Linked DNA regions of Macaca fascicularis. The protein of the gene in region 1 purifies or fractionates together with the protein of each later gene. This does not show direct contact. Links are inferred from orthologs where the notes say so. Each region holds a gene or a part of one and is shown in the gene's direction. Other genes may lie near its edges.

The links. The genes of interacting proteins can lie anywhere in the genome.
Region 2: the proteins of PSME1 (region 1) and PSMA6 purify together in Homo sapiens (affinity purification with western blotting; 5 studies listed by BioGRID and IntAct, with this or other methods). This does not show direct contact. The link is inferred for Macaca fascicularis from reciprocal best matches to the Homo sapiens genes PSME1 and PSMA6.

The regions. Positions count from the first base shown.
Region 1 is NC_088381.1:91,949,809-91,954,100, forward strand, and holds PSME1 (proteasome activator complex subunit 1), read left to right. Parts: upstream 1-1,437; 5' UTR 1,438-1,552; coding exon 1,553-1,591; intron 1,592-2,274; coding exon 2,275-2,307; intron 2,308-2,429; coding exon 2,430-2,492; intron 2,493-2,606; coding exon 2,607-2,717; intron 2,718-2,805; coding exon 2,806-2,851; intron 2,852-2,985; coding exon 2,986-3,083; intron 3,084-3,332; coding exon 3,333-3,401; intron 3,402-3,479; coding exon 3,480-3,547; intron 3,548-3,630; coding exon 3,631-3,685; intron 3,686-3,759; coding exon 3,760-3,846; intron 3,847-4,019; coding exon 4,020-4,100; 3' UTR 4,101-4,246; downstream 4,247-4,292. UniProt on the Homo sapiens protein: Implicated in immunoproteasome assembly and required for efficient antigen processing. The PA28 activator complex enhances the generation of class I binding peptides by altering the cleavage pattern of the proteasome.
Region 2 is NC_088381.1:103,105,132-103,109,473, forward strand, and holds the start of PSMA6 (proteasome subunit alpha type-6), read left to right. Parts: upstream 1-1,427; 5' UTR 1,428-1,500; coding exon 1,501-1,576; intron 1,577-4,342. UniProt on the Homo sapiens protein: Component of the 20S core proteasome complex involved in the proteolytic degradation of most intracellular proteins. This complex plays numerous essential roles within the cell by associating with different regulatory particles.

The DNA.
Region 1 (4,292 bases):
TTACATATGGCAGCTTTCCTGCTACAATGGTAGAGTTGAGTAGACAGACACTGTAAGGCCCATAAAGCCTACAATTTACTCTCTGGCTCTTTATAGAAAAAGCTGGCCAGACGCAGTGGCTCATGCCTGTAATCCCAGCACTTTGGGAGGCCGAGGCGGGCGGATCACGAGGTCAGCATATCGAGTCCATCCTGGCTAACATGGTGAAACCCCATCTCTACTAAAAATACAAAAATAGCCGAGCGTGGTGGGACGCGCCTGTAGTCCCAGCTACTGCGAAGGCTGAAGCAGGAGAATCGCTTGAACCCAGCAGGTGGAGGTTGCAGTAAGCTGAGATTGTGCCACTGCACTCCACCCTGGGCGACAGAGTGAGACTCTGTCCCCCAACACACACACACACACACACACACACACAGTTTGCTAGTTTAAATCAGTGAATTATCCTGGGGAGAAAAAAAAAAAAACCGGGCTAATATCAGAGATAAATGCTATGAATGTACTAAAACAGGCTGATTTGTAATGCATTTGGAGGGAGGTTCCTTATAGAGGATGATGAAAATAGTTGTCTCTGAAGAGGTGACATCTAAACTGAGAACCGAATGACAACACCCAGGGTAAGTGTGTTTTAGACAAAGGGATTATTAGCAAGGGCAAAGGCCCTGAGGCAGGAATGAACATGACACATTTGGGAAACAAATAGCCCGAGTATTTGCAAGTGTAATGAATGAAGGGGCAAGTAGTAGAAAGTGAACTTAAAGGGGAGACAGCTGCAACAGCCTTTTGGATTTCATTCTAAGGTCAACAGGCAGCTGAGAAAGGGTTTTAAGCCAGACAGAGGCATGAACCCGCTGCTCTGTGAGAGTGGGCTGTAGAATGGCATATGCCGCGGTGGTCCAGGAGAGAGCTGGTCCGGGCTTGGATAGGGATGCTGTCGGCTCTGGTGCCGGTGTTGCTACAGGTGCGGAGGATGTCGGCAGAGCCAGAGGCCCACGCTAGCAAGGCTAGGAAAGAGAGGCCAGGTCTTATTCCATCTCTGGGGAAAGACAGAAGAGCCCTAAGTAAGACTTATCTGTCCCAGGCGGAGCAGGGGAAGAAGAGAGCAGGTGGGGAGCCAGTTGGGAGGCGGAAGGTGGAGGGCGGGGCGCGGAGAGACTGGCTTAGACTAGACGATGGGAGGACCCGGCGTCCTCGGACGGCGGGCGGCGAGTGGCGAGAGGCGGGAGGCGGGAGGCGGGAGGCGGGAGGCGGGAGGCGGGAGGCGGGAGGCGGGAGGCGGGGACGAGAGGAGGGCGGGGAGGCGGGGACCCGGCCGGCGGGGGTGGGGAGGCTGGAAACTGGCCCTCGCGAGGCAGCCTGTGCGCGCTAGGGGGAGCCGCACCCGCCGCCCTCCTCTGCTGCACTGCACCTCTCCCTGGCCGGGCTGACCCCGCCTCCTCCAGCCCTCCCCGCCCCACTACCCAGGAAGGCCGTGAGTGGTGCGAGCGCCGCTTTCGCTTTCCCTTCGCGGTGCCCACTCCGTTCCTCGTGCGGCGCTAGGCCCCCCGTCCCGGTCATGGCCACGCTCAGGGTTCAGCCCGAGGCCCAAGCCAAGGTGAGCGCCGCGGGGTCTAGAAAAGGCCCACTGGGGAGGCGTGGCTCGAGCGGCCGGGGGCATCCCCGACCCGCCCCCCAGACTCCCACACAAGTCAGGGGCAGTCCGCCGAGCTGGCGCTCCCGGAGCACCTGCGCCCCGGGGAGGGCGGTGACTGCTGCCTGCGGGGACAGGCGAGGCGGCCGTGGTTCTGTGGGGTGAGGTGAAGCGGAGAGCTGGCGTGGAGGGGAACTCCGCTGGCCTGGAGCCGGGGCCACACACAGACTGGATGCGGGACTGCCCCAGCTACCTCGTGGCCTTTCCCTTAGGGAGGGTCCCGGGGCCCACCCCGTCCCTGTCCTGCTCGCAGAGGGCTCTCAGCACCCCTCCTCACACCTGCCAGGCGACCCCAGGGATCTGGTCTCACGTGAACCACTGGCCCTTCACTGCCAGGAATGTTCTCATCCCCCGTATCCAGCCCTAGGGATACCCATTCCACTCTCCGTAGATCCAGGTCTGCAGAGTTCCACTCCTCCACCACCCCAACCCACCCCACAGGCATCCATCTCGCTTTCTTCAGGTCTGGCCTTAGAGGGATCCCCTCCACCCTTCCCCAGGTCAGGCCCTACATAACCCTAAGGGAACTGTCCTCAAATGAACTGGCCTTAAAGCCAAGTTTCTGAAGGGATGCATGTGCCCCACAGGTGGATGTGTTTCGTGAAGACCTCTGTACCAAGGTAAGACATGCCCCATCAGCGGCCCCACCCCTGCCCAACTCCTACTGCTCAACCCTGCCTCACCACCTAGGATGGGCATATGATGCTGACTCCCATCCTTCTCCATCCCACCTCACACACAGACAGAGAACCTGCTCGGGAGCTATTTCCCCAAGAAGATTTCTGAGCTGGATGCATTTTTAAAGGTACCGCAGCTGGGCAGGGAGCTAGGGAGTAAAGGCCAAGAGAAGGGTCAGGGGCTGTGAGAGTGAGGTGAAAGGAACCCCCTCACCTCCAGCCCTCCTCCCACCCTACACCAGGAGCCAGCTCTCAATGAAGCCAACCTGAGCAATCTGAAGGCCCCGTTGGACATCCCAGTGCCTGATCCAGTCAAGGAGAAAGAGAAAGAGGAACGGAAGAAACAGCAGGAGGCAAGCTGGGAAGACCTGGGAGAAGGGATCCAACCATGGGGGTAATCAACCTTAGTCCTGACTCTCATGAGCCCCTCTTTTTCTGCAGAAGGAAGACAAGGATGAAAAGAAGAAGGGGGAGGATGAAGACAAAGGTACTTGAAACCACAATTGTGGGAAGAGACTTGAGTCCCACCCACAGGAGCTACTCCTAAGGATTTCTTTCTACTCTCCCCTTCAACCCTCACACAGGCTCAATCATGTGACTGACCCATTGCTCACTCTCTAGGTCCTCCCTGTGGTCCAGTGAACTGCAATGAAAAGATCTTGGTCCTTCTGCAGCGCTTGAAGCCTGAGATCAAGGATGTCATTGAGCAGCTCAACCTGGTAGGCTCTCCCCCTTCAACTCTCAGGCTTTAAGTCAAACCATTGTCCTCTTAGTCCCTGCCATTTAGGGCCTGGCACATGCCAGGTTTTAGCAAGAGAGGGCACAGCAAGTGAAACCAGAAGTCCGGGCTCTGAGGCTCAGGAGAGACCTGGCATGCCTCCAGCCAGTGTGGGGAGGGAAGCAAGGGAGAATATGAAACGGAATTGGATAGAGGGCTGATGTGGCATTACGCCATTCCCTCTTCCCAGGTCACCACCTGGTTGCAGCTGCAGATACCTCGGATTGAGGATGGTAACAATTTTGGAGTGGCTGTCCAGGTGAGAGTGCTGCCCCACTTCCCTGCTCTTTTCTAGTCCATGCTTCCTTCTACTTTCCCCCTTGCTTTTTTTCCCTAGGAGAAGGTGTTTGAGCTGATGACCAGCCTCCACACCAAGCTAGAAGGCTTCCACACCCAAATCTCTAAGTGAGTGACCACCCATGTACACACTGTCTGTTTTGGGACAGAGACCTCCTTCTTCTACTCCATACACACTTCTCCTTCCACAGGTATTTCTCTGAGCGTGGTGATGCAGTGACTAAAGCAGCCAAGCAGCCCCATGTGGTAGGTGAGGCCCAGGTCAGGGTGCATGAGGGAAGGACTCATGTAAGGTCAGGCCTGACCCGAGCTTCCCACAGGGTGATTATCGGCAGCTGGTGCACGAGCTGGATGAGGCAGAGTACCGGGACATCCGGCTGATGGTCATGGAGATCCGCAATGCTTATGTGAGGAGGCGAGGGCAGGGGTGGGCAGAGGCAGCTTTCCCAGGCCACGCACTCCCTGACCCTGCAGGCTGGGGGTAAAGGGTGACAAAGCGCAGCTTCTCCACAAGGCTAGAAATGGGGCACAGAGCCACTGGAGGCCTCTGACTGACCTCCACTCCTCCCTGGCCCTGTAGGCTGTGTTATATGACATCATCCTGAAGAACTTCGAGAAGCTCAAGAAGCCCAGGGGAGAAACAAAGGGAATGATCTATTGAGAGCCCTCTCTCCCATTCTGGGATGGGTACAGCAGAGACCTTCCTACTTTTTACTGGGGACTCCAGATTTTCCCCAAACTTGCTTCTGTTGAGATTTTTCCCTCATCTTGCCTCCCAGGCACAATAAATATAGTTATACCACTGCCCATCAGCCCAAGTCTCTTTATTGGATCTGGACCCTGCTGGCCCTGG
Region 2 (4,342 bases), about 11 Mb from region 1:
TTCTTTGTATACAAACCATCTGTATCTGGGGAGAAAAACAACTATTCTAACATTATGTTTTGCATTTTATATTCATTAAATAGGAGTGTGCCTTGGGGAAAGTCAAAAGAGGCACAAATTTGCGATTTGAAAAGCCACCTGCTGTTCTCTGGGAGCTACCTCGCCAGCTTGGAATTACTCTCATTAATCCATGCGACACTAGCTGCCATAAGCCCCATCTCTTCAGCTTTAGTTCAGTATTAATCAAGGGTGCTTAACCTCATTCCCCATTACCCGTATTTCAACCTCAGTTCCACTTTCTTTTCTTTCTTTTTTTTTTTTTTTTTTTTTTTTTTTGAGATAGATCTTCCTCTGTCGCCCAGGCTGGAGTGCAGTGGCGTGATCATAGCTCACTGCAGCCTGGATCTCCTGAGCTCAAGCCATCCTCCCACCTTAGCCCCCCGAGTAGCTGGGACTACTGGCGTGCGCCACCACGCCCAGCTAATTTTATTTTATTCTTTAGAGACGGGGCCTTCCTATGTTGACCAGGCTGGAGTTCCACTTTCAAGACTAAAAGTTGGCTGGGCATGGTGGCTCACGCCTGTAATCCCAGCACTTTGGGAGGCCGAGGCAGGTGGATCACTTGGGCTCAGCAGTTCGAGAGCTGCCTGACCAACATGGTGAAACCCTGCCTCTACTAAAAATACACAATTAGCCGGGCGTGGTGGCGCACGCCTGTAATCTCAGCTACTCGGGAGGCTGGTACAGGAGAATCGGTTGAACCCGGGATGGGGAGGTTGCAGTGAGACAAGATCGCGCCATTGCACTCCAGCCTGGGCAACAAGGGCGAAATTCCGTCTCGAAAAAAAAAAAAAAAGACTAAAAATTGTCGGGGCTGCTGGCCAAAGGAAGATCTTGCCTGGCTGTCAGAAAATAATGTTCTTTCCAGCGGCTACTTGAACCCGCTTCCTTCAGTGCCTAAATTTAACAGCTGCAGCTGCTGCAGCTACTGCAGCTGCAATCTGTTTCCCCCGTAATAGGAACCAAAGTGGAGGGTAAAAGAGGTTAGGAAGAAGGCAAGCCAGCAGTCTGATCAGACACATGATGCATGTAAGAGACTTGTTAATTACACGGACTATTTAGGTCACATTGATAGCCAAATCACTATTCTGGGCCCCCAGGAAGGCTTTTCGTCCTTGCTATTGTCAATTCATTCTCCAGATGAAAGCCTGAAACTGCCACGACCCAAGTTTCACCTCTTCAATCCACTCAAGAGGCCGGCTTGGCGCAGGCGCACACCTTGGAAGTCACCCCGCCCTCCATCCACCACCCCCGTTGGGGGCGGGGCCTCAGAGCTCAGCACTTGAACTGTCTCCAGAGCCATGAGTTTGGCGTGCAAGAGCGGAAGAAATGCGGCTGATACCCCGGAAGCAGTCGCTGCAACTTCCGGGAGGTGCTTGTACGCCTGGTGCGGGAGCTACGGGACCCAGGGATTGTGTTTGAAGTAGTGCTTCTACCAAGATGTCCCGTGGTTCCAGCGCCGGTTTTGACCGCCACATTACTATTTTTTCACCCGAGGGTCGGCTCTACCAAGTAGGTGAGTGAACCAGGTTCGCCTGTGGTCCACCTGAATTGCCCTGTCATAGTACGGCCTGGAGCGAGCAGACGCGGCCCGAGTTTAGTCTGGGGCCGGAGCTGAGCCGGAGCTGGGAAGGGAGAACGGCTGAGGCTGGATTGAGCTCTGTGGTATTTGCACACGCGTCTGGACGCAGGGATCGGGGGCCTGAAGGCCTGGCTCTCTGCAGGGCGAGAGGCCACACTGTCTAGACCCAATGGAGAGTTAAGGAAGGTAGGGCTGTAATGCCTTACTCCGGCTTCCTGAGGCCCCTTCACTTATTGCACTCTGTGCTGGCGAGGCACAAGGCCTGTTTCTAAAGGGTAATTTATTTCTTAACGTCTCAATTAAAATGCCTCCTCTCCGTTTTCCTTTGTTTGCAGCGTGGACTTCCTGTGGTTTATTCCACACAGGCATTCGGAGCCTGCTGTGTACCAGACACTGCTAGTCCTAGGAGATACAAAGATGAATGTTACCCCTCTTCCATACTGAAGCTCACAGCTTAGAGTGTCAGATACGTTAACAAACGGATAACAAAAATTAGAAGTGCCAATTTACAAATATCTACAGAGTTCAAGACATCTTTGGGAAACTGATAGAATGAGTGACTCTCGATTCTAGAGCTGGTCTTGAAATTGGCATCCCCTTTTTACCCACATCTGTTTGAATGCTCCAGTAATTTAAATGCCGGTTCTGAGTTGTAGATGAGGTTCTGTGTACTAGTTTACTGAAGAACACCTGTAGTGGAAAGAAACTATCAGTTACTCGGAATAGGAATGTATTTTGTTGCGTTGAAATGGTGTCAAGGTTTAGGTTATGATTATAAGCCAGACACTTGACCTCCTGCCATAGAGAATTGAGTGTCAGTAGAGCTTGATTTACATCTGGTCCGTGATAGTTTTATTTTTGAATGAGTTTAGTGGCTCCGTGCCTTGCACAGTAAAATAATCATCTGTGCTTGGAATCATAAGGAGCGAATTGGTCTGTAAATGATGTTCTCTTCATCTGTAAATTTTAGAAATAAAGATAACTGGGAATGAAACTGCTCAGTGTATTACTGCATAGTGTATATAATGTAGCAAGAAACATCATCATGTTGGATAATTCAATAGCCCTTTTAATTTATCCCCAATTGAAAAACATGATTAAGGATAGAACAAAGAGATAACTGTATCCTCAAGGAATTTTCGCTTATTGTGTTAAATTCCTGAGTTTTAAATAATTTTCATATATCAGACTACTGCTTTCAGTGTTCTATTCGTGATTTTTAATGTGTGAACAGGAAAAGTCACTCCGAGACCTATACTTTATTTCTGTATACTGTATTGTGAAATCCAGCCATAAAGCATAATCGTTAATGCTTCCCAGATTTGGTGAGTAGAAAGGCTGTACACAGTGTCATTGTGATAGTTTTAAAAGATTTGGAAGAGAACATCTATCTGAAAACAAGTTCATTATCTAGACAGAATTTTTTTTTTTTTTTTTTTTTTTTTTGAGACTTTGAGACGGAACTTCTTCACTCTTGTTGCCTAGGCTGGAGTGTAATGGCGCAATCTCGGCTCACTGCAACCCCCGCCGCCCGGGTTCAAGCAATTCTCCTGCCTCAACCTCTTAAGTACTGGGATTACAGGCATGAGCCACGACGCCTGGCTAATTTTGTATTTTTAGTAGAGACAAGGCTTCTCCATGTTGATCTCGAACTCCCGACCTCAGGTGATCTACCCACCTCAGCCTCCCAAAGAGCTGGGATTACAGGCATGAGCACCCGGTCTAGCACCGGCCTAGACAGAATTATTTTAATCTCTGTGAATAACATACTCCCTCTGCTATTCAGGGCATTAATTAGACATTGTTAGGAAAAAGAAAGTGAAAGACTAGTATGAACAAGCAGTTTAGTGGTGAAGAGTTCAGGCCCTGGAGTCATGCCTGGATTCAAATCTCTGCCCTGCTCCATGCTAGCTGATACAGGCACTTGCCAGGCATGTAACCTTAGCCTTAGTTTCTCTTTCCAAAGTTGTGCTCATAATCATTCTTCCTTAAATGGTGGTTTTGAGGATTAAATAAGGCAATGTATGTAGAGTGCTTAACGTGTGCCTGCTGCATTGCTCAGTGAATGTTATTAGATGCTTGTTTGATTCTTTGGCCCACTTTGTTTTTCGGCCTATTAGATTGGCACATCTGTATGGAATATTTCCCTTTTTATGGGTCCCTCCATGCTTAGTTCTCCAGTAAAATATATACATAATCATAATATTCTCAATACTGTCTGTTTATAAACTTTAGAATCCTCCAAAGACAAAGCATGGAAGGATTACAGAATGCAAGTTGTTAACATTGACAGTAGGAAAATAATATTTTTAAAATGGGATGATGGTGAGGGGAGATTAATGAATGGTAAGTATGCTCCTTATCTTCCATACTTGGGACTCAAAAGATAAATGTCTGAAGTTGATATATCAAAAAATAGAGGTATACATTTAAAGTTATAATGCTTGGCCAGGTGCGGTGCCTCAAGCCTATAATCCCAGCACTTTGGGAGACCGAGGTGGGCTGAGGTTAGGAGTTGAAGACCAGCCTGACCAACATGGTGAAACTCTGTCTCTACTAAAAATACAAAAAATTAGCGCCGGGCGCGGTGGCTCACGCCTGTAATCCTAACACTTTGGGAGGCTGAGGTGGGCGGATCACCTGAGGTCAGGAGTTTGAGAACAGCCTGGCCAATGTGGTGAAAACCCGTCTCTACTAAAA